Linked DNA regions of Struthio camelus. The protein of the gene in region 1 interacts with the protein of each later gene in a biochemical or structural test. Links are inferred from orthologs where the notes say so. Each region holds a gene or a part of one and is shown in the gene's direction. Other genes may lie near its edges.

Region 1 (7,488 bases):
AACTATTTAAAGATATCTAGCAGTTTCATTTCTGAGTTATGGCCTACCATTCCGATCAACCACCTTTGCTGAAAGATGTTCTACAGGCAGTCATGGTGTACATGGAACATCTTCTACTGGATAAACACATTTAATGTAATGCCTATGGCACAGTCAGAAGGAGAATCTTTCGCTATAGATATAACATAACAACGTTATGGTCTGGAAGTAGCTAGGAGCAAAATACTTAAGAGGCCAGCAACATTGTAAAGGAACTTCTAAGATGATAAGTCTTCTCTGCAGTTTCATCACTCTAATAGAATGCATAATGTAATCTTGAAATTGTGCGGGCTTTTTATGCAAGGATTTCAAAGTAAAAGCCTGGAGGATGGAAAGGTACAGCAGTGTACAGCAGCATAAAAAGGCTTACAGTACACTTGTTATTCAAGTTTTACCATCAAGGCTCAGATCATGCAGAATTAGAACAATTAGAGCAATTGGAAGAAACTAAAAATGCTCTCCTTTCCTGAAGTCTCTTTGAAAGACAGTGACAGCAAATATACCACATGTGTCCCACCAGTTGAATTTCCATGTGAGGGGTAGTTCCCTTGCAGGCAGAGGTTCAATTTATTGTTTCCTGCACCATGCATATAGAAAGGAGACTGAGAAACTGTACGAAAAAAGTATATTGGTACCCCTTAACCTGGGCAGCCAGCTGAATTAAAAGTTCTGGTGGATTTTAGTTACACAAAGAAATAGACGACGGAGCCAGGTATCTCTTTGAGGCAATTCTGCTTACTTACAAAAAAAGAAAAATTTCCTGCTTCCCAGAATTGAATGGGAGTAAAATAACAAAAGACAGTTTAATCATACTTCTAGTATTTTTTTTTCAGCCAGACAGTTCAGCAAAGCTCTTTCTGTTCTTTTTCTCAATATCATGTTTCTAGTGCTCGTTTTAGATGTATTCCCAGTTTTCAACTCTTAATATATCTATTTCTGGATTGTTTCTTGTTGCTGCTCTCTGAAAGATATGTAGCTCTACCAGACAAGGTCCTAGCCCCCACATTTGCATCAGGAAACCGACTGATTCAAATTCTGCAGCAATTTGCCATATTCTTGTATTTTAGGTGGATCATCTGGATTTTCTTGAATTTTCTGGTTGCCTGACAGAACATAATTGTTTTCTTCACTTTTGATGTATCTACTGATGTGTGAAACACATCACCTCAGTCTACCAGCTTCAAGGAACTATAACCTAAATCATAACATTTTTATGTCTTGAGAGAGTTTTTAAAAACTGAAACCTAGCATTAAGATTATAAATTCTTATAAAAAAGATAGAAACTGAGTTATGTGTAACTTTTTGACTGATGACTGGGTCACAACTGGATAATCTCAGTTTACCAGGGAAGTCTTTAGGAGTAGGACAGTTTTAGGTCTTTTGAGTTTCAGTGAAAGGTTGTTCAAGCCTCATTGGATAATTGCTTTGTCTCTAAGGCTTCACTCTGGGCCCAGGGAAATCTGTGATCTTTAGAACAGGTATTGTACCTTTTGAAAGCTGTTTATAATCTACAGCATTAAGCAGAACAAAAGCAGAAAGAGCAACAGCTACTACCTAATTCCTTGCTTGACTCTGGAGGGCAGTTTTATAGTCTACTGGCTGATATTTTCCCATTTGCTGAAGAACTCAAGGACAGAAGGGAAAACCTAAAACAGGGACTTGGTGAGTTTTGACTTGAATTTCTAGCACATTCTTCCTTTCAGATTAGGAACTGTAGCTTGGTCTGTGCGTGGAAGATCTGTGGTTTTTAAATGGAAGTGAAGCTACAAAGCCTCCTGTCAGCAGAGCTAATTGCTCCGGTTGTGCTGCGAATGGTTCCTCAGTTGCATGCACAAATCAGCTTCCTCTATGAAAGCAGTAGAAAGCTGGGATAAGAAATAACTTATATCACTTTTGATGAAATAATTGTAGGCCACAATTCTTATATCAGTATTTCACTGTTTTTCTGCAAGGTATGGTTTTTCCCCAGTTGCGCTGGTCCTGTGTCAAAAACTGCAGATCCTCATCCATGTAGTTGTCACATGGATAAATTTCTGGCTGCTCAAAGCAGGAAGCTTTCCTTGCCCTTATCACATGCAGTGCACAGGTTTGTTCACAGGTGAATTCTGATAGAGTTGCACAAGAATATAAGTAGCACATAACAGTGTAGTCCTGATTAGGGGGGGAAAAAAAAACCCAGAAAGGGGATAACAGGTTCTCCTATTGCCCAGCAGAGACTAGGAGAGAGAAATTCCTGCCTTCCTTAGTTTTTGAGCTCTTGATTTAGAGAAACAGAATGCCCTTCAGAATCCTTTTCAGTGTCATCCTTAGAGCATCCTTAGGTCCCTTATCAATCCAAGAACAGGTGCAAACACAGGAAATCAGAGGGACCATAAGGGAAAATTAGAGCTGGGATTCCTCACACATTTTGCTCCCCTAGTAGATATATTCTGCCTTCTCCCAGCCTTCATGGGATTCAAGCTTTCAGTTCAGTAAGAACACTTTTAAGTGTTTCTGTAATAACACTTTGAGCCATGTATTTTCTCCCTGACATTTCTTCTTTTCACTATCATCTCACTTCCTCCATTATTTTCTTTGATGCTGCTGTATGTTTTGATAGTGTTTCCACTGTTCTTTTATACTTACTTTCCATTCGTTGTGTTTTCCTTTGTTCTCTAGCAACTATTTTTAACTTTCTTTTTCTCTCACTCCATTACCATCATCGTGCCTCTTCCCTTCTCACATTCCTCAGTTCTTTGAATCATTTCTCAAGTATGCTTATCATTCCTAGTCTTTATGCATTTTCTTCTCTAGTAGTTTTCCATATGAGATAAGTACACATACATGTGTGTGTATACGTGTGTATATACATGTGCATACATGGCTGCTTTCTTCCAACCACAGAGAGTCAGCCTCACATGCACACATCCCTGTGGATGCACATGTGACTCCTCAAGGGTTCTTCTGACTTCTCACACATTCAGGACCTATTATTGACTCTGGCGAGGCTTCACTTGAAGCCTCACCTCAGTCCACTCAGTGTGAAGGGCAAAACCTAGGGAGTAACTGGGAGAAGAGCAGTATCTGTGCTTTGTTTTCCTCTTGAGGGTGAACAGGCAATAGCAGAAGAAGAACCAGCAAGTGTGGCAGGTGCATCATGAGAGATTTGGGCCGAGGATCCCTGTGCAAGATGGCAGCAGCATTAAAGGTTGCTAGTGGTGGTGGTAAATACTGATCCAGCACGACTAGGAAACAGTAAGGGAAAGGACTGGTTTACTTTGCTCCCACTGGCTTGCCCGTGGTGGGAAGCTCTTATTTGTGACCTAGCAGGTAAATGTCCTCAGTGAGACCTACCAGTGTGTGGCCTGGAGGCCAGAGTCCAGCATTAAAGCTATACCAGATCTTAGAGTCCAAGATACTGCAGCTTATTTATGCCAATGAGGAGTCCACCCCCTTTGTAAAGTACATTGTTTAAAGTATCATGCAACTGTAAAATAATATTTATATGAAGTAAATCTTGTTGACTTCCCTTTCAACAACAACAGCAGCTGTTAATCAAATACATGTTTCCTCAAAAAGTCTTTGAAACCTTGGGAAACCCCAAAACCCCTTCTGCCTGAAACTGCTGTTCTTGAAACTGTCTCCTGTTCAGAGCACGGTCCTTTCTTTCTTTCTTCTTGCCCTCTCTCCAGCCAGCATGTGCAATGAGAAGCAAGGGCTGCTGCTTTGCGAGCAGCATAGCGGCCCTAAAGCTGGCATTCAACATGTCCCTTTGTGCCTGAGGGAAACATACTCTAAAAGCCTGAGGAACTAGAAGTAAGGGCAAGGACATAACCTCTTTTTTCTCTCTGAGCCAGTTTTTTGTGCTTGTGCTGCTGCTGACTTTGCCCTCTGCTCTTTCTGGGGAAGGGGCAGAAGCGCCTATTTATTTTCTTGCGGTGGTACTTCAGGGCTCTGCTATCACCTGCAAGCAGAGTCATTTGCAAACAGGCTGTATCGCTGGGGAGCAGAAATGTGTTTTTTTTAAACCTTAAGCAGATTTATAGTCTGGTTTCCTGTCAGATCTTTGCATTTTCCTTCCCCGCCCCTCCCAGGCTCTGACACACTTTTTCTTACTTTCTGTGTCGCTCTTTGCTCATTCTGACACCGGGGCGCTTGCATCCTTTATTCCTGATTCTTCCTAAACTTTTGGCACTTCAGAGGCAAAGGGAGTGTCTTGCTTTTTGTATTTCCTTTACTTTTCAACAGCTTCAGAGCACAGATAACCTCTCCAGGACTGCTGGAGAGAGACAGTGACAATTGCATGGAGGCGACGTAGGGAGTTTCAGCCTGCAGCAGCTGCAGCAAGGCAGCCCCGGTCACTCATGAGCACCCAAGGTAAGGAAAGCAGCTATCAAATCAGCTCCACCTTACTGCTGGTTAGGATAGCACCTGATTCTAATCATACCGGTTCCCCTTTCACCTTTCACTTTTTTTGTGTTCATTTTCAAGAGCACGTTTCTTTGAGAATGGTTATGTTAGCTCCTTCCTTGCACTCAACAGGTCTAATTGTACCTTGCACGCACAAATATTTAGAGCGCGGGGTTCAGTGAAGCAAACAGGCTGTAGCTGAAGGTGCACATATGTTTGCAAATAAAGTGTGCACTGGGAAGGAGAATGGAAATGGAGGTCTGGAGAGGGGAGATGAAAGGACTAATTGTGAGCAGTGGCCTCTAGGGAATTTCTGTTTCTACCCATGGTATGTTGTGCTCTACCTTTACTTTAAATCTCTTCACTGGGCATTTATGCTTTCTATCAAATAACAAAATCTTTCTCCTTTGTTTTTTTTTTCTCTTTGAATTTGTTCTTCTCACTTCCTTTAGTCTTCTCTCAACCCTGATGTATCTCTTACTGACTTTTCCACCATCTTTTTATGTCTATTTTTCATCAAGCATAATTCTGTATAACAAATGTTCCTCTTGCCCCTTTCTTTGCCTTCCCTCCCCCTCCTCTTTTTTGCCTGTGCAATAGACTGTACATCCTGCCCCATGTTCTTAATCTTTCTCTCCTTCCACCCTGTCATTTCCTTCTTCTCTGTCTTGTGTTCCCCTTTCCCATTGCTCCTCTGGCTTCTCACACGCACTACTTCCTGCCCCATCTCCTTTCTCGTGCACACAGCGTACATTGCTGCCCCGCAAAGTTAATTTTGCACACACAGTGGTGTTGTCTCTCTGCTGAATTGTCCTTGCACACACATGCTGCTTTCCTGTCTACCCTTTCTCTCTTGTACGCATGCAGGATTTGCTAAACAAGTTCCCATCCCAAAATACCAGACTCTTATACTTGCACAGCTTCCTTCCAATTCTCACACTCATATCTGGTCATTCACAACAAATAACCCCTGTCGTTCTGACTCTGTTTCTTTCTGTCTCATGAACAGAATTTTCTAACACCTCTAACACACCATAGCTTCCTTTCTACTTATAAATACAGCCATCTCTGACATAGTTCTTTCTATCGCTCCTCTTTCTGTCATCTCGCTCCTCCTTAAGTCCTTACCCCAATCTTTCAGCAGGTTTCTCCATCTCTTTTTGTCTTGATGTTGACTTCATATTGGAAGGAGCCACTGGTCTTAGTCTCTGCTGTCTTAGCATCCCCCCTGAGTACCTGCAGGGGAACTGGAGGAAGTGTTGCAGTCTTTCAGCTTCTCTTTCCTTCGCAGAATATGCAAGCTGCAGCAGAGTAAGAGCATAAGAGTGGGAGTGAGTGTGGATAGAGAAATGGGAGAGCACAATCCAAAATGTTTTTTGAAAATTGTAAAAATGGTTCTAGAGGAGATACTTTCTTCTAAGTGATTATAAGCCATTTTACTAGCCTAAATAAAGCCGCAGTCTGCCTGCCCCAATGCCGAACTTCTGCTCTGACACTGAGGTAGTTTTTGTCCTGCTGATTTGAAACTCCCTTGGAGTTTCAAATCTCAGAGGTAGAGGTTCTCTACAGTAATACTATGGTGGGAGTAACTTTGCTCCTAGGATCTGGAAACAGCTCATTTCTTCTATACTAGATATATTAGTGAGTCTCAAAGATCAAACATGGCTAAAAATTGCATCCAAGAACAATAGCTGGTATTATTGCCTGTTTAAGTTTGTAAGCTTTGAACCAGATACAGCAAAGAAATAAGTTTCTTTGATGAAGCCTTTTTGCCTCACATTCTGAAGCAGGACTATTGGGACTGAAGATTTATTTCTAAGAATGTTCTGATGTGGGCTTTTGAGGACTGAATAAGGATCACTTATTAAACTCAGTCGAATTAATAAGAGAATTATTATGTAGGCGAATTCTGTTAACAATCTACCCCATCCATCTTCTTAAAAATTGTTCATCTCCTTATGGGTGAAAGAAGCCTAAATTTTATGTTTGCAATTATAATATATCCTTTCTGATTCAGAGCTATCAAACTGTGGCCTTTGAGCTATGAACATTCTCTTCTGAATGCAGAAGCAGCTACATCATAATATCTTTGTCTTCTGGATCTTGTGAAAAGTCCACAAACCTAGAATGACAAAATAAAAGAGATGTTCATTTTATTCATACAGATCTAATATGACTCTTTCCTACTCTGTTACAACTCATCCTGTGATATGAAAAGTTCTTGTGTTTCTTTTAGTCATTCTGCAAAACTTGTATGATGATCTTGTGCTTTGTTTTTACAGTATTCTGTGCCCCCAGAACTGTCCCTGTTCTGATGCCTTGGTATGTCCCAAAAACAAACTGGCTGAGACAACTTCCCTCTCTTTTTCTCTCTCACTCTTTTTTTTTTTTTTTTCTCCATCCTCGTAATTTGCCACAGGTTGAGTTAAAAATTGTTGAAGCTGGGTTGTGGCAGTTGCAAGGGGACAAGGAGCCAGAGATAAATTCTTTTCACTCTAGTACCTTGGGTCTAGAGAGAGATTTCAGCTAGAAAGAACATGAACACCTTCCATCCTACCAAGCAAATTCCTGTACTGGGAGGTGCTCCCCCAGAAAAGAGATTCAGAACCTCATGTTAACTCCCTGTTCATATGCAGAGAGTTCCTTCCAAATAGATTTAGCTCTGAATTAAGAGAAAAATAAACTTTCAACATTCATGAGAAGAGAATGGTCTGGCTGCATGTGCCTCTGTTAAAATTAGAAGCAATTTGAACCTTCTCTAGAAGGATGTAACCCAAATAACTGTGAATATGTGGAAGAAATCTGAATGATGTAATGCTGTAATACGGAGGATGTCTGTAATATACCAAATGACCTAGTTTGTACTGGTGCTTGGACAAATTTTTAATCAGTTATATGGCATGATTGCCTTTGCTAACAGACGATGAATAATTAGAGATCTCTGTTTCTCCCAATATTATGTCTATATTACTGAAAAAGAACAAACTACCCACTTTTTAGCAGATTGCTCAACTTTCTCATTGGTATAGAAATGGATGTGCCATGAAATCTGAATATTC
Region 2 (8,062 bases), on another chromosome or scaffold:
CACAGCAACACCTCCACAGCATCATATGCATCTTCTACCTCTGATGCTCATTTCATGTTTCAGTTATGCTACAGTTTACACAGCTTACACAAGTTTATATAGCTTGGTATATATATTATATATATCTTGGTATAGATATCAGCTATGGGAGGACATCATGGAGCTAGCTGTCAGCAGCAAGGCTCAAAATCCGGACTTCCAGGCCTAAAACAAAAGCACCTCTCATCTTCAATACAAAAAGCCCTGTATCGTTAGCACAGTGGCAGCAGAAGATTGACCAGCCTCCTAGTAATCTTGTCCTTAGAGTGCTCTCTAGAGGAGTGCAAATTTCTGTGTTGAATGCTAGTGCAGGTTATAAAGATAAATGTGAATACGCTTGAAATCCTGCTCAGCTCTAGACCTCCATTACTCCCCAGGACAGTGAGTTCTGCTAATCCAGACTGAATTTAACCTAAAGCTCTTTTAACTAGGAAGACAGTAAATACAGAGGATACATAAATACATTTACAAAAAGAGCCCAATGTGATTGCAAAGACGATTACTGTTCTTTTTGCTTCAAATTTCCCCATTAAATTAATTAAAAAGACATAAAGCAGCTAAGTGTGGCAGAAAACGTGCACCAATAGCCCAACAACCCCAGAACCTGGTAGCTTGTATCCAAGAGCGGTGAACAGCAAACACCCAGGGAAAGACAAAAAATCAGGACGTGTTCGGGGTATTGGCGTTCAATGATCTCCATTTTGGGGAGACTCTTCACCAGCGATGGTATCTTTATGCTGAAACACGTGAACGAGTATCGCTCTAGTACAAGCAATGGGGACACTATTCTCTGCGAGAAGAGAGCGGCTTCTGTTCACAAATGACCTGGTATTTTTTCTAGCAGCCTCAAAGCACCACACCTCTCCTGCAGCTCTCCTGCTTGCTGGACCATGCAGTTCCACATCACGAATCTCTTAGTTACTGAGCTGGGTGGAAAGGTTTCATTCAACCCATTCCATCCACCACAACCCACCTCCTCCCCACCACCGCTGAGCCCACTCAGCTCTTCACATGGCCATGTCCTACAAAAATGATCCCAGCTACAGGCAAGGGGCAGCCCTTCTTTTTTTTCAGTTTTGGTTTACTTGTTTTTCTTAAATTCAGACCGTTTTGCTGCTCTGATTTAGAGCGCGATGACATGAGAGGCTGAGTCAGCAAAGCAAGGAAGATGCAACCTCGGGTGAGGAGACAGGACAAGCCCAGGAGGGAGGTGGAACGTGGGAATGAGCAGATGAAGGCAGGAATTGGCTCTGCCTCTGTGGGCCTGTGCCCTGAATTGCATGGTTAAGCATCTGTTTAAATCGATTATTTCAAACGTCATCATCTCATGGCTACTGACATACTGCAGGATCAAGCCCCAGATAACCGAATGGAGACTGAGAAAAAGCTTCACAAAATCACTGCTGAGCAAACTTTACGAGCTTGGGACTATGATTTGTGCCGTATGTTCGGGTGGTCATACGGGTGGCAGGAGACGAACAACTCTTGGGTAGCGCTGCAGCAACTCCAGTAATAATATTCCTCTTTCCAGTTGGAAAGAAATAATAAAGATCTCTAGTTTAGTGCAGGTTCAAGCCAGTAAAAGCAAACGGTACCCTGTAGATTCTCCCATAGTTACGCACCCTTTCTGGCGAAGCGTCTGAGAAACGTGCATCGTCAGAGAGTGTTTTGCAAGTTTGATTTGCTCACTGCATTTCCTGTCCTCTTCTCAGGAGGCCAGGGAGCTCCCGAGCTGCATCCGTATAACAGCGGGGTGGACAGACATCTGACAGGACCAGCCTGGGGCGCGTCGGACCTGCCTCCTAGGAGAACGAATGCGGTGACCTCTCAGGTTCTTTCCCAGCCTATTTCTTATGACTGCTAGAAGAGATCGAAACGTAAACGTCGCCCTAACATGCAGCACACACTTAGTTGAGCAGAAGTGGAAACCTTCAGGGAGAAAAAGAAAAAAAAAGCCCAATTCTAGTGTTATTTTAAGACTGGAAATGGCCTAGCCTGCTATATTTCCTTCTTTTTTTTTTTTTCAAGTGCTTGAACTCAATACCTCATTAACTGAGTTTGAATGAATTTAAAGTAAAGAGGAATTTCTGACCATCCTTCACAGCTGTTATTAAATGTGTCCCCTGGTTATTTTTTCCTTGGTATCTTCTATAAATTAACAAAGAACTTGTAAGTAATCATCCTTAAAAACCAAACAGCAGTGGCAAATATTTTGAGAATGAAACCATTCAAAAAGGCCCATTGCCTGGGCAAAATGCTCAATCAGTTTAATTTTTTTTTTTTTTTTTTTTTACTGAAAATGTGGGTGGTTTTCAAATACAGGAAAGAAAACACGATGGCTTGTGGTGATATTTTCCACCAGAAAGATGCAGCTTTAAGGGCTTTTGGTTTCCAAATACCTACACCCACAGGAGTGGCCTCGTCTGTTGTAGAAGGCAATGCCTGATTAGTCGTACAAGTCAAATTAAATGACAATAATAATACACAGCAGTTGATGCATGTTTCAGTGGAAGCTCTGTGTCAGCTGGGTAATTAATATGGCAGCTGCCTCCCAGACTACGGCGCTGTCATTTTTAAAAACGCAAAAAGCTGCTGCGAAAAGAGAAGGGAAAAATCTGTTCTTCATTTCCCTGGTGGATAGGATGAGAAGAAGGAGGCTTAAATAACAGCAAGGAAGGTTTCGATTACACATAAAGGAAACGCTTTCCAGCAGCTCTGGAACGAGCTGCCTGGGGCAGGCGTGGAGTCTCCATTGCTTGCTTGGAGGGACAAGTTGAGCAAACGCCCCCTTAGAAAGGGTTTGTGTTGATTCTTTCTTGGGGCAGGGAGATGGATGAGGTGACCTACCGAGGCACCTTTCCAGCTTTGCGATCTTGTCATTACTCAGAAAAATTGCTTTGCCAGGAGAGGTCGCAAGCTGAAGCCTTCTTCTGCCCTGAGTTTAGAGCTAGGTGGCCTAAAGCACTGTTCTGTGATAGCCAGAACTTAACCCTGAGCCTAACCATTTGCAGGCCTGCAAAATCTCCTATAAACAGAGTGATCCTCATGTAACTAGCTGCTCTGTCCCCAACTAGGGATCTGGTGCATTTATGGGTGCAACACCAAAGGGGTCCAGGAACAGGCAGAAGACCACGGGGCTGCATCACAGTTGGGAATGTGCCGCTGCAATGCCCCAGGCTGGCACGCATCCGGTCTAAGTGCAGGCTGACACTACAGTCTTCTTCCCACCACGTTACTGTATCACACAACTAAAAAGAAAGTTCAGAGATTTTTGTTTCAAAACACCCAGCTTGGGTCTGCAGAGGTCTGCTACCTCTCCCACTCCTAGCCCACTGATGTCTCCATCACCTCAAGTTCCCTTTAGGGTCACTTTTTGAGCAAGTGGAAGTGCCTCCTGCCCTTCCTTTTCTGCAGATGCCTGTAGGAGCGGGAAGCTGATCTGCCGGCTCTGCCTTCCCAGCTGCTTCTGAAGGCAAGGGCGTATCTGCAATACCAGGACACTCCTGAAAATTGTAGTAACAGCACCAGCAACTGATGGAGCTGCAAACTTAAGAAGGGGCAGTTTTGTCAGCAATTTTCCTTAAAGATTCAGGCAAATTCCAGGGTTACATGGGATTTTAATTATCTGCTGCTCACCTTCAGTTGATGTTGAAGAACCTTTTATGCCTGCAGTATCAACACCCCCCCCCCAATATAATGCACTCTAATGCAGGCAGGAAGGATAGATACATAATTTAATGGCATATCAGCAATTAAAATGAAAGATCACCTTCCTCATGAAATGCCTTTTTTTTCCTGCTGATAACAAGGATATATATTATACGTTGCTCAGAGTGTTCCAGCAAATAGAAGGGAACTGCTCTTTGAAAGCAATACATTTTCCCCAAATTTCCAAAAGCCCAGCAGTCCTTCCTTTTCACTTTCCTTCCCTTCCTCTTCCCTTCCCTTTTGATAATTGGGTAGTTGATGTTTTAGGAATCAGCAGCAAGGGCAAAACAATCACATCTTGCCTTTCTACAACAGCATTCAAATAAACATTCCAGCTTACTCAAAGTGAGCACTTAGAGCTCCGAAAATTCCTAAATGATTAATTTTGAAGATTTCAAAAAAAAAAAGTATCTTTTTTTTTACAGGTCTGCATGGCGGCATGCAGACCTGCATCTTTAATGGTAAGAATTATCCCCAGCAAAGCAACAAAGTGGCACAATCTACATCCCAGATCCTTTCTCCATTGACTTTTTAGGGAACAAGCATCTGAGATACTTTGACAGTTGCCTAAGAGTGTTAGGATCCACAGAAAGTACCTGAATGTGGCCCCACGTCTTCTATAGGTATGTCTTTCCTGCTGTCAGAAGCATGACGGACATCTGCAGGTCTCCGGGATATGTATCCCATTTGACAGCTATCGACAGCATAGCCCATTATTGTTACAGGGTTGGTCATGTGGCCATGCTTCTGCAGCACATCCTTCCTGATGGCCAGGAGGAGTCCTGTTGGACTGCTCCAAAACCCTTCAGCTCCTACATTTCTGGAGTTTCTTTTCCTTCTAATCACTCATCTTCCAGGTTCCCAGGCCAGTTTTCCCCTCTAGACTTGCCTGTCCTCCCGGCATTACACCTAATCTTGCAGCATGGGAGGAGGCCATGGGAATGGTGGAGCAGAGAGCGTGTCCTTGGGGAGGTCCTGGGCAAAACCCACTTTTGACACCCTCAAGCCCTGAAAGGGGTGTACCAAGCAGCTCAGCCTGGCCTTGTTTCAGATTAAAAACCTAGTTCAAGGCAGGGCCCACCTGGAAGAGAGATGTTTTGAAGACTCGATGGCCAAGCACATGACATGATGGGACAGATTAATGAGGAAAGACACAGCCCACTTGACTTCCCCTCCACACCCCTCAGCAGACCTCGCTAGCTAGCCACAAGGACAAGGCTCTGCAGCCCCAGCAAACTCAGGTTGTCCTTATTATTATTATTATTATTATTATTATTATTATTATTATTATTAGTGATCATTTCTTTTGTACCACGGCTTTCTCCTCCGCAAAATGGGGTTGTGCACACCCAGCCCCGACGCTGGGCTCCTTGCGAGGCTGCACCACGGTACTTACCCGGCCGCCAGCACTTCCCACCCAGGGATCGGGCCCTTGGGATGCCCCGGGTAGGGGGCGGGAGCGGAGGGGGCCCAGCGGGGCGCCGGTCCAGGTGGCGCGGAGGAAGAGGAGGAGGAGGAGAAGGAGGAGAAGGAGGAGGAAGAGGCGGCGAGGGCAGCCCCGGGGGTGGCAGGCGGCGGGGCGGGGGCGGCTGCGACCGGCAGCGCTGCAAAGGAGCCGAGCCGGACTCAGCCGAGCCGAGCCGAGCTGACGGGGGCTGAGCTGGGTTGCGCCCAGGCGAGCTGCGCTGAGCTGAGCTGAACCGAGCCGAGCCGAGGTGAGCCGCGCTGAACCGGGCTGAGCAGAGCCGCGCTGGGCTGCACCGAGCCGCGCTGGGCTGCACCGAGCCGAGCGGGCAGCAGGTGCCGCCGGCGGTGCGGAGCGGAGCGGTGCGGAGCGGTGCGGTGGGTGCGCGACCGGGCCGGACCGGACCAGCTGTCCCACTGCGGAGGTGTCGGGGGTGAGACCCTTGGGTGCACGAAGGCGATGTGCTGTGCGTACACCCTGGGCAGGGAAGAGGGAGGCAGCCTCGGGGTGCCTAACGTCCTGGGTGCCCAGAAACCACCTCTCCACCACCCAGCAGCTTGGCTGAAGGCACAAGGAGAGAGAGAGAAAAAATTTGGGGAACTCTTTGGGATTGTCGATGTCTCATTTTACCCGGGACGCTGCTATTTTACCCTGCTTCAGCTATCGTTTCTCATTCTGTTACTGAACTGAAGAGCCATCATCAACTTGAAATACAGCCAGAAGGTTTTTTTGGTTGTTTTTTTTTTTTTTCTTAAATAACAGTTTATATTACTTTCAGGTTCATACACCTGATGTCTTTTGCAAGTGTTTGTGGTTTCATAATCACATTTTCCTGCCTCTAAAAAGTGTTGTTTTCTCCCTTGTGTCTTCATGCAATACAAAGAGGGGAAAATGACTGAGAAAAACAGTGAAAACCTACTACAGCCAGAATGTTATTGAACACACACAGTAAATAAATTGGAAAAAAAAAGAGGGAAATACTTTCCCCTGCTAGTTTCTTTGATGTATTTTAGGTGTTTCTTGGTTACAGCAGTATGCAGTAAGACAGCCAGGTTGAAGTTTAGTTTTCGGGTGGATGTTGTAGCTCATTAGCTGGGTAAATCATTTTCGGGTCCAATTTGTAATATTTTACAAACTAGCACTGTGATAAGTTTGAAAGCTCATTTGAGTGGTAAAGAGAAATGAATTGTCTCCATCCCTCCTCCGCTGTGTAGTGTTGTGAGCGGCATTTCCTTTTGAAGGAGGAGACTTGAAAACCCAGCCTGGCCGTTCAGCCTTGAGACTTCATTTGTGTTGCGTGCATGTTAAATGCTAATGAAGTTAAACTCTCGGGTGTAATCAGTTCCTTTTTAATGAACTCTTTAAATAGTGATTACAATGCAACCAACTTCTCAGCTGTGTGTTTCTCCAGTCACACAGACTAGTGCAGCTCTTTGCAGGGGCAGAAAGCTCCTCATGTGCTTTTTAATTTCCACCAGTGAAATGGCAGTGGCAAAGAAAATGACTTGAGCAGCTGAAAGCCACTCAATTGAGTCATGCTAATAGCAGATTATTTAGTAAGGTCACTAGGGCAGGAAGAGATAAAGTTTCACTGAACTTGCTATTAAAAAAAAAAAAAGGCGAAGGGGGAGAGAAAAACAGAGCTGTTTGCAATGAGCAGCAGTGCCATATTCTGGTCTTCACTTTTTTGAACAGCCGGTTCCATGGGGTCCTGGACCTATGCTTTGTTTTTTTATTTATTTGCTTGGTTTTTTTGCTCTCTGAAGAAAGGACTCCACATCCCCACTGATGTGCCATTTTCTGGTTTCTGGGGAATGTGCTTTAGGAGCCCAGCCGAAGGATGAGCAAAGAGCACCTGCTCTGAGGAGGTTCCTGCCTCAACTTGTTGTGGTGCAGCAAGGCTCTGTTCAGCTGGTGGTAGCAGATGGCCTCCTGAGATATAGCCTCTTTTTTACAGGCCACAGGCCTGGTGAGCGGCCTTTTGTTGAACACCTGACACCGGTGTTGAACCTGGATCCCAGTGAGGGTAGTTGCCATGGTCTCTTTTGATGGTGCCTAGGCTGGACATGAAACTTCAACATCCAGCAGCCTTCACTCTCCCGGAGCTCCCTGAGTGATGCTAAACCTCTCCATTTCCTCCAGAGTTCCCCCCATGACATTTTGGCTAGCCTTTCTGAGCCCCACTTCTAGATGTCCATTAGGATTTTGTAAAGTCATTTCAAGGATTCACATTCCTCCTGAACCTCCATCTTCCATCTCAGCATCCCCTTTCTACCCAGGCCGTTTTTGTAATCAGGGCAAAAATTTTCTTTCTTTCTTCCCCCTCCCCCCCAAGAAATACACACCAATTTTTCAAAATTACACTCCAAGCCTGCAGTGCCAGATGTCTTTCTGGAGAACTTGCCGATCTTTCTGCTTTAGGACACTGGGGGTTTTGGTGAGGAGGTAGCCATCCTGTTTTCAGGCTAGACGAGGCTTCTCCTATCTGACACCCTTTGCAGCCCATCCTGTTCACAGAGGGACTTGGAGAACTTCTCTGTCCCTCTGAAGCCTGTGAGATACAGTAGAGGAAAGGAACCACACTGCCACCAACACACAGCAGGTTCATAGCAAAGGGAGCTATGAACAAGGACCTATTACACCGCCAGGGTGGAGCTAACTTTTTTTTTTTCTACTTCAAGTGAGCTTCCTTTCAAAGAAAGTCACTCAGTCGACTCTCAGAGCTTCTCACAAATGCACCGGCTGCCTCACTATTGCATCCAAAGTGGAGGGCCTCAGAGGACAGGATTAGAGAGAGAGACAAGGAAGGAGGGATGGAAGGAAGCATTTAATTCACACTTTAATTTCGCA
Region 3 (7,440 bases), on another chromosome or scaffold:
TTGTGCCAAAAACATCAATACATTCCATAATCTATTCTAATAGAGGTTTGCACTTTGATTTTTTGTGACTCTTGCAGTTTCAATACTATATATCCCCATCACAAAGGAATAAAGTGTCAGTTGTACTGTGGACTGTGTAGTTTTGCCTCTTATTTTGAAACCAAAAGCACGTGTATTTGATTTTGTATTGTTTCATGCTGTTTTTTTTTTTTATTGTGAAGCTTATAACATGCCTAGAAATAAAGCCGACAATAGACACTTGTGCTAAAACCTTTAAACCTTTTAAAAGAAATCTTGGCTCTTCAAAAACAAATCATGATTTTGGGCTTACATTTAAGATAATGTCTATAGAAGAGGCATTGCCATAGTGTTCTAGATACGATGGCTGTGATTTTATTTTGTTACTGTCCAAGGTAACTACATGTTATTGTAGTATAATATTTTCTCCGTAGTCCACTGTATTTAGTGCAGGTTACACAAGGTGAAACTGCAAAGGTTTAGTGGCACGACCACTGGGCTGAATTTCTTCACAAAGCTCCTGTGTCATCTCCTCTTCATCTGAGATGTCTAGAGAGTTGACTACATTATGGACATCACACAGTGGATAACAGGGCAGATGGCTGCATGTTTTATATTTAAATCGTCCTTGTGTGCTATAAGTAGCGTATATGGCTGGTCTCTGCCTGTACCACTGTGCTCTAACATGGGTAGACTATGATTTGAGAATTAATCACAGCGGGAGACAATGCAGTTACTCTGGGCTGCGTGGACCATGTAAGTGCTCATAGGTGTTCAGTGCCACCTTGTGGCAATCGAAGTTTTAATTAGTCAAGGCCTCAGTATTGTCACTTCAACTTTGTATTTAAGAAAATCCAACTACTGTACTGTAGCAAAAGAATTGTATCACGTCCAGACTGTACAACCTCTAATGTGGATACATTTAGCTTGGTGCAATTACTTAATATTATAACCAGCACCATATATAAGCATCGTTGTATAACCACATCTACAGGGGAGAGTTGATAGCAATTTACTTAAATTTGTTTCTAAGTGACAGGAATTAAAAATAACACAAAAGCTACAGAAAAATATTCCCATTTGCCACATTAAGAAGCTCCGCTCAAAGAATATAGAAACATGCAAAAGCATGAAAATCATTTAAAAAGAAGTGCCCGTTGAGAAATTCAGCTGTAGACTATTACTGTAGCCAGCACAAACTTTCTGTGCTGGGTATACAAGTTCACGCTCCACTGTAAATGCAGTCTGCCAAAAAGCATCAGTCATAACCTCCCGCAGGTGCCAGGCAGGGGCTGTGGCTTGAGCAAGGGCTTGTCCCAGGGCCACCCTGACCTGCGCATGAGAAGGGGGCGAAGGGCCAGAGCTGGCACCACACCCCTGCAGGACAGGATTGGGGGGGGGGAGGGGGGAACACGGCTGGTCCTGAGCACCAAGGTGGGGAGAAAGCCTGGAGCTGGTCACAATACAGAAAGGTCCACTGACCGCTTCTCACCAGCTGCGACAGCGTTATGACGTTTTCTGGGATCGATAGGGTGGAAGACGTGTCCTTGAGCAGCGCTCGTTTGTAAGCAGTATCTGAAATTTCACAAGCATAGTCGGGGTGGTGATTACATGTATACGTGCTCATATAACCAAGGCAGTGTCCAAAATCTTCCCAGCTCCCTTGAAAGAAATTCTCTGTAATGCACTCCTAAGACTCCCTTCTTGAAACTGAACTGATCCTGACCTCCTGAAATGAATTTCACACTGACAGTAGTCGTCTTCCAGCTGCCTGGACCATTAATTCCTGTCAGGAGTTACTGGCAGTAAACCTGCTAAAATGCAGTCTATTCTTGTATTCGCTACCAGATGCCCTTTTCTCTGATTCCTGAAGTTCATTCCTTGCAGTTTGTCTCATACACGGCTCAGGAATCCAGGAGTCTAGCTCTCCAGACATCACATGGCTTTGAACTGCACCTCGGTCACTGGGCAAGGTTATTTTTAAATATTCTAAATCCAGAATGTGCGGTAGCTATTTTTATCAAAAGTATTATACGGAGCCAGCAAAATCTGCACCAGCATTCACCTTGACGAGGAGGAGCTGGAAGTCACTGGGGTTAATGAACATGAATGGGAGTCAGGAGCTGGGGACATGCCTGGCTCTGTCCCAAAGGCGTCAGCTGGCCACGATGAGCTCGCTGGACACTTCAGAGGCGCTGAAACCCGGCCACGTAGTTGGGTGCCTAACACAGATTAAGGAGTATCAATTTAGGCACTGGGACTTGAAAAGTACCGCCATGCCCTTCAGCTCACTGGAAAGGAAATACAAAGTAAATATTTGTTTACATCATATTTGAGATGTTTAATCCTCAAATACACAAGACAGCTTTGGGATCCTCAAATGTGCTAGAGCAAAAAAAGGGTTCCTGGGTGCACGTAACAACGCTGCAAGACTGGGGCTGTAGCAGGGGTTGGTGCCAGGCTGCGACCAGGCAGGGCTGCCAGCGGGCAGCGAGGGGGCGGCCGGTGGCGAGGCCCTTCCACGGGTAGACATGTCCTTTGCAGCAGCAGCAGGGAGCGGAGCTTGGTGATGGTTTCTGATAGCCACTTTGCAGCCTGGCTGTGGTTTTAACAGCCAAGTCAACGGAAATCAGCATTGTCTCCAGGTTAACAATGGTGACTGAAGTGTCCTGGGCAGGGCACTTTAGTGTCTGCTGAAAAGTTGGAAAAGCAAGCACTGTGAAATAGGTACCGTGACAGTTAATATCTGAAGTATGATCCCACTAAAAAGGCATACCCTGGAAAAGGACTTTTGCAAGACGTTTGCAAAACCAGTTTTCCCTTAATAACAGCAAGAGCTACTACTGATTGTTTCTCCTCCTTATACGTGTTAATGTTTAACTACCAGTTTTAAGACCTCAGCGATAGCCTTTGTTTTGCTTTCGACAAGCTGAGAGATCGTTTACTCCTCAGGCTTCGCCCTGGGCGGGCTTTAAGCGCTCGGCTGCGGCGCCGCCGCCGCCCCGTCGCTGGGAGCCGCCGCGGCGAGGGCGGAGCAGCCCCGCGGGCGCGGAGCGGCGCCGCCGCGGCCTCCCCGTGGCGTCCTGGCACCCTCTAGCGACGACTTTCTTTCTTTCTGGCTAAACGAGCAGCAGCCGCTCCCAATCTTTGCATTTAAAGCTCTACTGTACCTGCTGGTATGTACGTAACGTCTAGCACCCAAAGCAGAAGCGTCCTTCAGTTATTTTGTTAGAAGCTAATTAATCATTAGAGATTTTTTTTTCCCAACAAATGAAAATTATTTCTTATGTCTCTCTCAACATTTCTTGCTTTGCTTTCCCATTTCTTCCTACTTCTATGCTCTTGTCAGTACCCGTGCTTCCTTTTATGCTTCTTCTACGAATTATTTTCTTTTCAGAAAATATTTTCTTCCCTCTTCAAAGGTATTTTCTAATCGAATCGCCTCTCATTTAATTTTCCATGCTCTCTCTCACTGTCTCTTGCCATTGTTGCCCAGTTTTATTCCGTAACTATGACCACTCTTCCACCTCGACCTCTCTTATTTTCTCATGTAATCCAAGACTTGGATGACATGCAGCCTCCCAAGCAACTTGCTGTCTCCCCCAGCCCTCCTTTCCAGACGCACGCTCTGATTTTCCTGGGAGCTCACTACGTAATGACTGAAAAATCGTTCCCTCTTGTCACGAGTGTAGCGCACTGGAAATACCTAAATGCTAAAATAAGAGCATGAGGATACCAAGCCTTCGGAGGGGTATGGTGGGTGCTATCAATTAATTGTTGCCCTGTCAAGAACGAGATGCCTATTTCTCAGATACTGCCCAGCTTCTGAGTCGCCTCACACGCCGACGGACAACTAGTCAAATCACAGCATCAGCGTGCCTGCGGCCGGCGACCCGACTCGAGCCCTCGGGGGCCGCCGCTCGCCGGCGGGGCGCGGCCTCCACCTTGGCTTGTTTCCAGAACCGCGGGAATCCTTAAAGACAGCCACTCGCGGCGGCCGCCGCCGCCGCCGCCTTGCACCACACCCCGCGGCCGCCCACCGCCGCCCCCGTAGGTCAAGGCCCTGCGCGGAGCGGGCGGCAGCGAAGCACAGCCCCCCGCAGCCGCCCCGCCCCCCGCCCCTAACGGCAGGCAGCCGTTGCGCGGAGCCCAGGGCCGCCTCAACGGCCGCAAAGTCCCCGCAGGGGCGGGGCGAGGCTGGGCGCCCCTGCGCACGCGCGTGGGCGGGGCCTGGCCACGGTGGGCAGCCCCGCCCCCTGCGCGGGGGCGATTGGCCGGGGGGCGGGGCGGGGCGGGGCCGGCGGGGGCGGGGGCCGGAAGCGCTGTCGCGACCGGTTTTCCCCGGCGGCGGCGGTGGCGGTGGGTTTCCGCTATGGAGGGTCTGGGGCCGGGGTCCGTGGGGCGGCTGCTGACGGAGGACGAGATGGCGGAGGTGAAGAAGGAAGTGAGTGGTGGGCAGGGCCGGGAGGCTGGGATGCCCCCGGGGCGGCGGCGGTGGGGGGCGGCCCGGGCGGCGGAAGCGCCATCAGAGCGGGGAGACGCCAACGGCCGCGGGGCCGCCGGCCGGCTGCGTGCGCGCGCCCCCGCCGGGCGCCGGCCGGGCACGTGCCGCGGCGGGGCCGGGCCGGGCCGGGCCGCCGGGGCCTCGGCGGAGCGCCCGGCGGTGAGGGAGACGGCGTGCCCGAGCCTGCTGCGGGGCCGGCTTGCTTTGGTTTTCTTCTGGCTTTCTGGACTGCTTGGCGGTGCTTGGAGGCCAGAGCAGCGGAGGGTCCCTGTGCGCCGCGGTGAGGGGTAGGGTAGCAGGGACAAATAACTAACGCGGGGTCCAGGAGTTACCTGTAAACGTGCTGCTCTCGCCATTACCGAGGCTGGCTCTTGTAGAGCGTGACTCTCTCTATTAAATACTGGCATTTTTTTGATTTTTTTTTAAAGGCTTTTCTTTTGTTTTCTTGGTGTTTTCCCATGTTTGTTCGCTGATGCTTGGGACCTGACAAAATTATTTCACCCTTAAAATCAAAAGAAAGAAGCTGCTGAAATCGTGATGCTTCATGACTGTAAATCCCCAGGAACAGGAAGAGAAACATTGCTAATTAGGAGTTTTCTTTAGTCCTGATGATACTCCGTTGTGGTTATGGGAAGAGAGGGCAAATGACAGGTTTGGCCACTTACTTCTGCAAATGCTTGCAGAGAGTTAAGTGTGCAGCTGTGGAACATCAGTGTATCTTAGGCATGAGGACTCTATTTTGCTGTGAGTTTTGTATGTTTTTTCTATTAGACAACAGTCTTGCAACCCTTGTGCTCTGTGAAAAATCACAACCAGTCGCTGAAATTTGAGACAATTTGTCAATAAACTGTGAGTGGGAGAATACAAATATGTGAGGAATAAGAAAATTCTTTTAGTTTTCATTCTAAGCAGAGATAAAATTCTGTATTTTCATTCTGGGAAACTGTCTTCCATCCTGGTTCAGTCTGGAATTGCAAATCGGTTTGCTAGACTGCAAAACAAGCAATGCGCTAACCAACCACATAGTCTGAAAGGAACATATACTGGTTCTTATTTATTTATTTATTTTAAACATTCACCACAGTTTGTCATTTATTGCTTGATCATGCATAGCATCTGTTTATAATGTACAATGTTTTATATTTGATTTATATTTTGTTGCATATGCGCCTTTAAAACATATAAACTTCTTCTATAGACTTTCTTTGTTTGACTTTTTTTTCCTTTCTCCTCACATGTCTCTTAACATTCTTTACTGAACTAATAATGATATTGTTGAAGACTGGTTTCTTAAAAGCTTAATGCATATTAAAATTTTCCTTAATTCCTTTGTGATAACTTTTTGAGGCATGTTTTTCAAGTTATTTCTTGCTTCTATAGAACCATAGGGTAATACTGCATTAGTTAACAGCTGGTAGTTTAAAAACATTCAAGGTAGGAACTTCTTAAGCCAGATGATATATGTAACATGATATGTAAGTTAATTTGTGTAAGCGACTGAATTCACACATGCCTTTTTGTTTTTATAGAAGTGCATCTATGTCAATTCAGCCTTTAATCTTATAGGATCTCCTGTACTGACTGGAGAACCTGATGGAAACCTTAATGCTTAGTAGAAAATGATTAGTTTTATACAAATACGTTACATAGATACAAAGCGCTGGTTCAGTGTAAGGTTTCTTAGCTGTTTCAAAGTTATCCAAGTAATTTTGATAGATCAGCCTTGCAATGATGAGTTCTAGACCAAATGAGGCCTTGGTCTGTCCTCTCACAGTCAGCACAGCACTAGTATGATCTTGCCACTCATTGAGTGAGCATAACATTATTTCAGCTGTTTGTCTGTGTGTCATCTAGATTAGATGATGGACAAGACAACTGCTTTATTGGGTAGTATGCAGAACCAGCTTAATCATTGTGAAACCATAGCTGCAATAAAAGTTTAGTTCCAAATTAATGTCAGTCAAAGTGTTGTTATAGATCACGTGTGGAATAGGAGGGCTGACTGCCTCTAATCATGCGATCAGAGTTTATTGACTGCTTTCAAGTTTCAGAGTTTGACTGCTTCCTGCTGGTGGTAGGATGAGATTTGTATGAGAAATAAATTTGTATTGCCCACAAAGTTCCTAGGCATTCAAGCATGGGCTTGTTGCGATTGGATGCTTGGGATTAATCCAGAGCACCTTAAATTGATATAAGTTGTACCATTTCCCTTTTCTGTTCTTAACATCTCTGTTATGCCAGCACTAGTGCCCATGTGACTGCACAGTAAACTGGATGCGGGGGGTGGGGGGAATGTGGGATCAGTTTCTTGAACTGGATCCTCTCAGGCACCAGTGCAAGGGAAAGGGTGGGAAAACCTAGCTGTGATGCGGACGGGACTGCGTCTTTGTGCCTAAGTTAGTTTCAGCTACCATGGATCTGCGCCCTTATTTTTAATTTTACGTTATAATCAATCTAGTGATTATGATCTACTGCTAAAAGCCTTCCTTTCTCCTCCATCCATGCTCTTTGGACGTTTTCCTTAGCAACTGTGTGGCGTCACATCCAGTGTGAGAGGATGTTTATTGATGGTTTAGTTTTTGTTGGATTCCCTGAGGGAGACTGCAAGAACAGATTTTTATTCTGCTGTGCTTAGTGAAGTAGATGAGGAAGTCCAGGAAGACTACTTTATTTTTTATTTTATTGTTTTAACTTTAATTAAGAACTATTGATGCTACCTCTAGCACAATATGCCAGATGGTATTTTGCTCCTTGTAGTAACCTGTCCTAAAGTGTCTTTCTTTTTTTTTTTTTTTTTCAACTTTTTCTCCATTTCTTTTTACTGAGCCAGTAAATTGCTATAAAGCAAAAAGTCATTTTTATCTTTTAATTTTTAAATGCTACTTTCACTGAATCTAATCACTAGGTGTCAACTTGAT

The links.
Region 2: of the proteins of CARD11 (region 1) and PRKCQ, one has a biochemical effect on the other in vitro, tested with the Homo sapiens proteins (2 studies listed by BioGRID). The link is inferred for Struthio camelus from reciprocal best matches to the Homo sapiens genes CARD11 and PRKCQ.
Region 3: the proteins of CARD11 (region 1) and BCL10 form a complex in vitro, tested with the Homo sapiens proteins (2 studies listed by BioGRID, with this or other methods). The link is inferred for Struthio camelus from reciprocal best matches to the Homo sapiens genes CARD11 and BCL10.

What each region holds. Positions count from the first base shown.
Region 1 is NC_090956.1:5,763,851-5,771,338, forward strand, and holds the start of CARD11 (caspase recruitment domain-containing protein 11), read left to right. Parts: upstream 1-4,118; 5' UTR 4,119-4,383; coding exon 4,384-4,396; intron 4,397-7,488. UniProt on the Homo sapiens protein: Adapter protein that plays a key role in adaptive immune response by transducing the activation of NF-kappa-B downstream of T-cell receptor (TCR) and B-cell receptor (BCR) engagement.
Region 2 is NC_090942.1:4,823,693-4,831,754, reverse strand, and holds the start of PRKCQ (protein kinase C theta type), read left to right. Parts: upstream 1-4,867; 5' UTR 4,868-4,988; intron 4,989-5,143; exon of another isoform or gene 5,144-5,248; intron 5,249-5,305; exon of another isoform or gene 5,306-5,462; intron 5,463-7,907; exon of another isoform or gene 7,908-8,062. UniProt on the Homo sapiens protein: Calcium-independent, phospholipid- and diacylglycerol (DAG)-dependent serine/threonine-protein kinase that mediates non-redundant functions in T-cell receptor (TCR) signaling, including T-cells activation, proliferation, differentiation and survival, by mediating activation of multiple transcription factors such as NF-kappa-B, JUN, NFATC1 and NFATC2.
Region 3 is NC_090949.1:21,330,712-21,338,151, forward strand, and holds the start of BCL10 (B-cell lymphoma/leukemia 10), read left to right. Parts: upstream 1-4,312; 5' UTR 4,313-4,390; coding exon 4,391-4,462; intron 4,463-4,708; exon of another isoform or gene 4,709-4,809; intron 4,810-7,440. UniProt on the Homo sapiens protein: Plays a key role in both adaptive and innate immune signaling by bridging CARD domain-containing proteins to immune activation.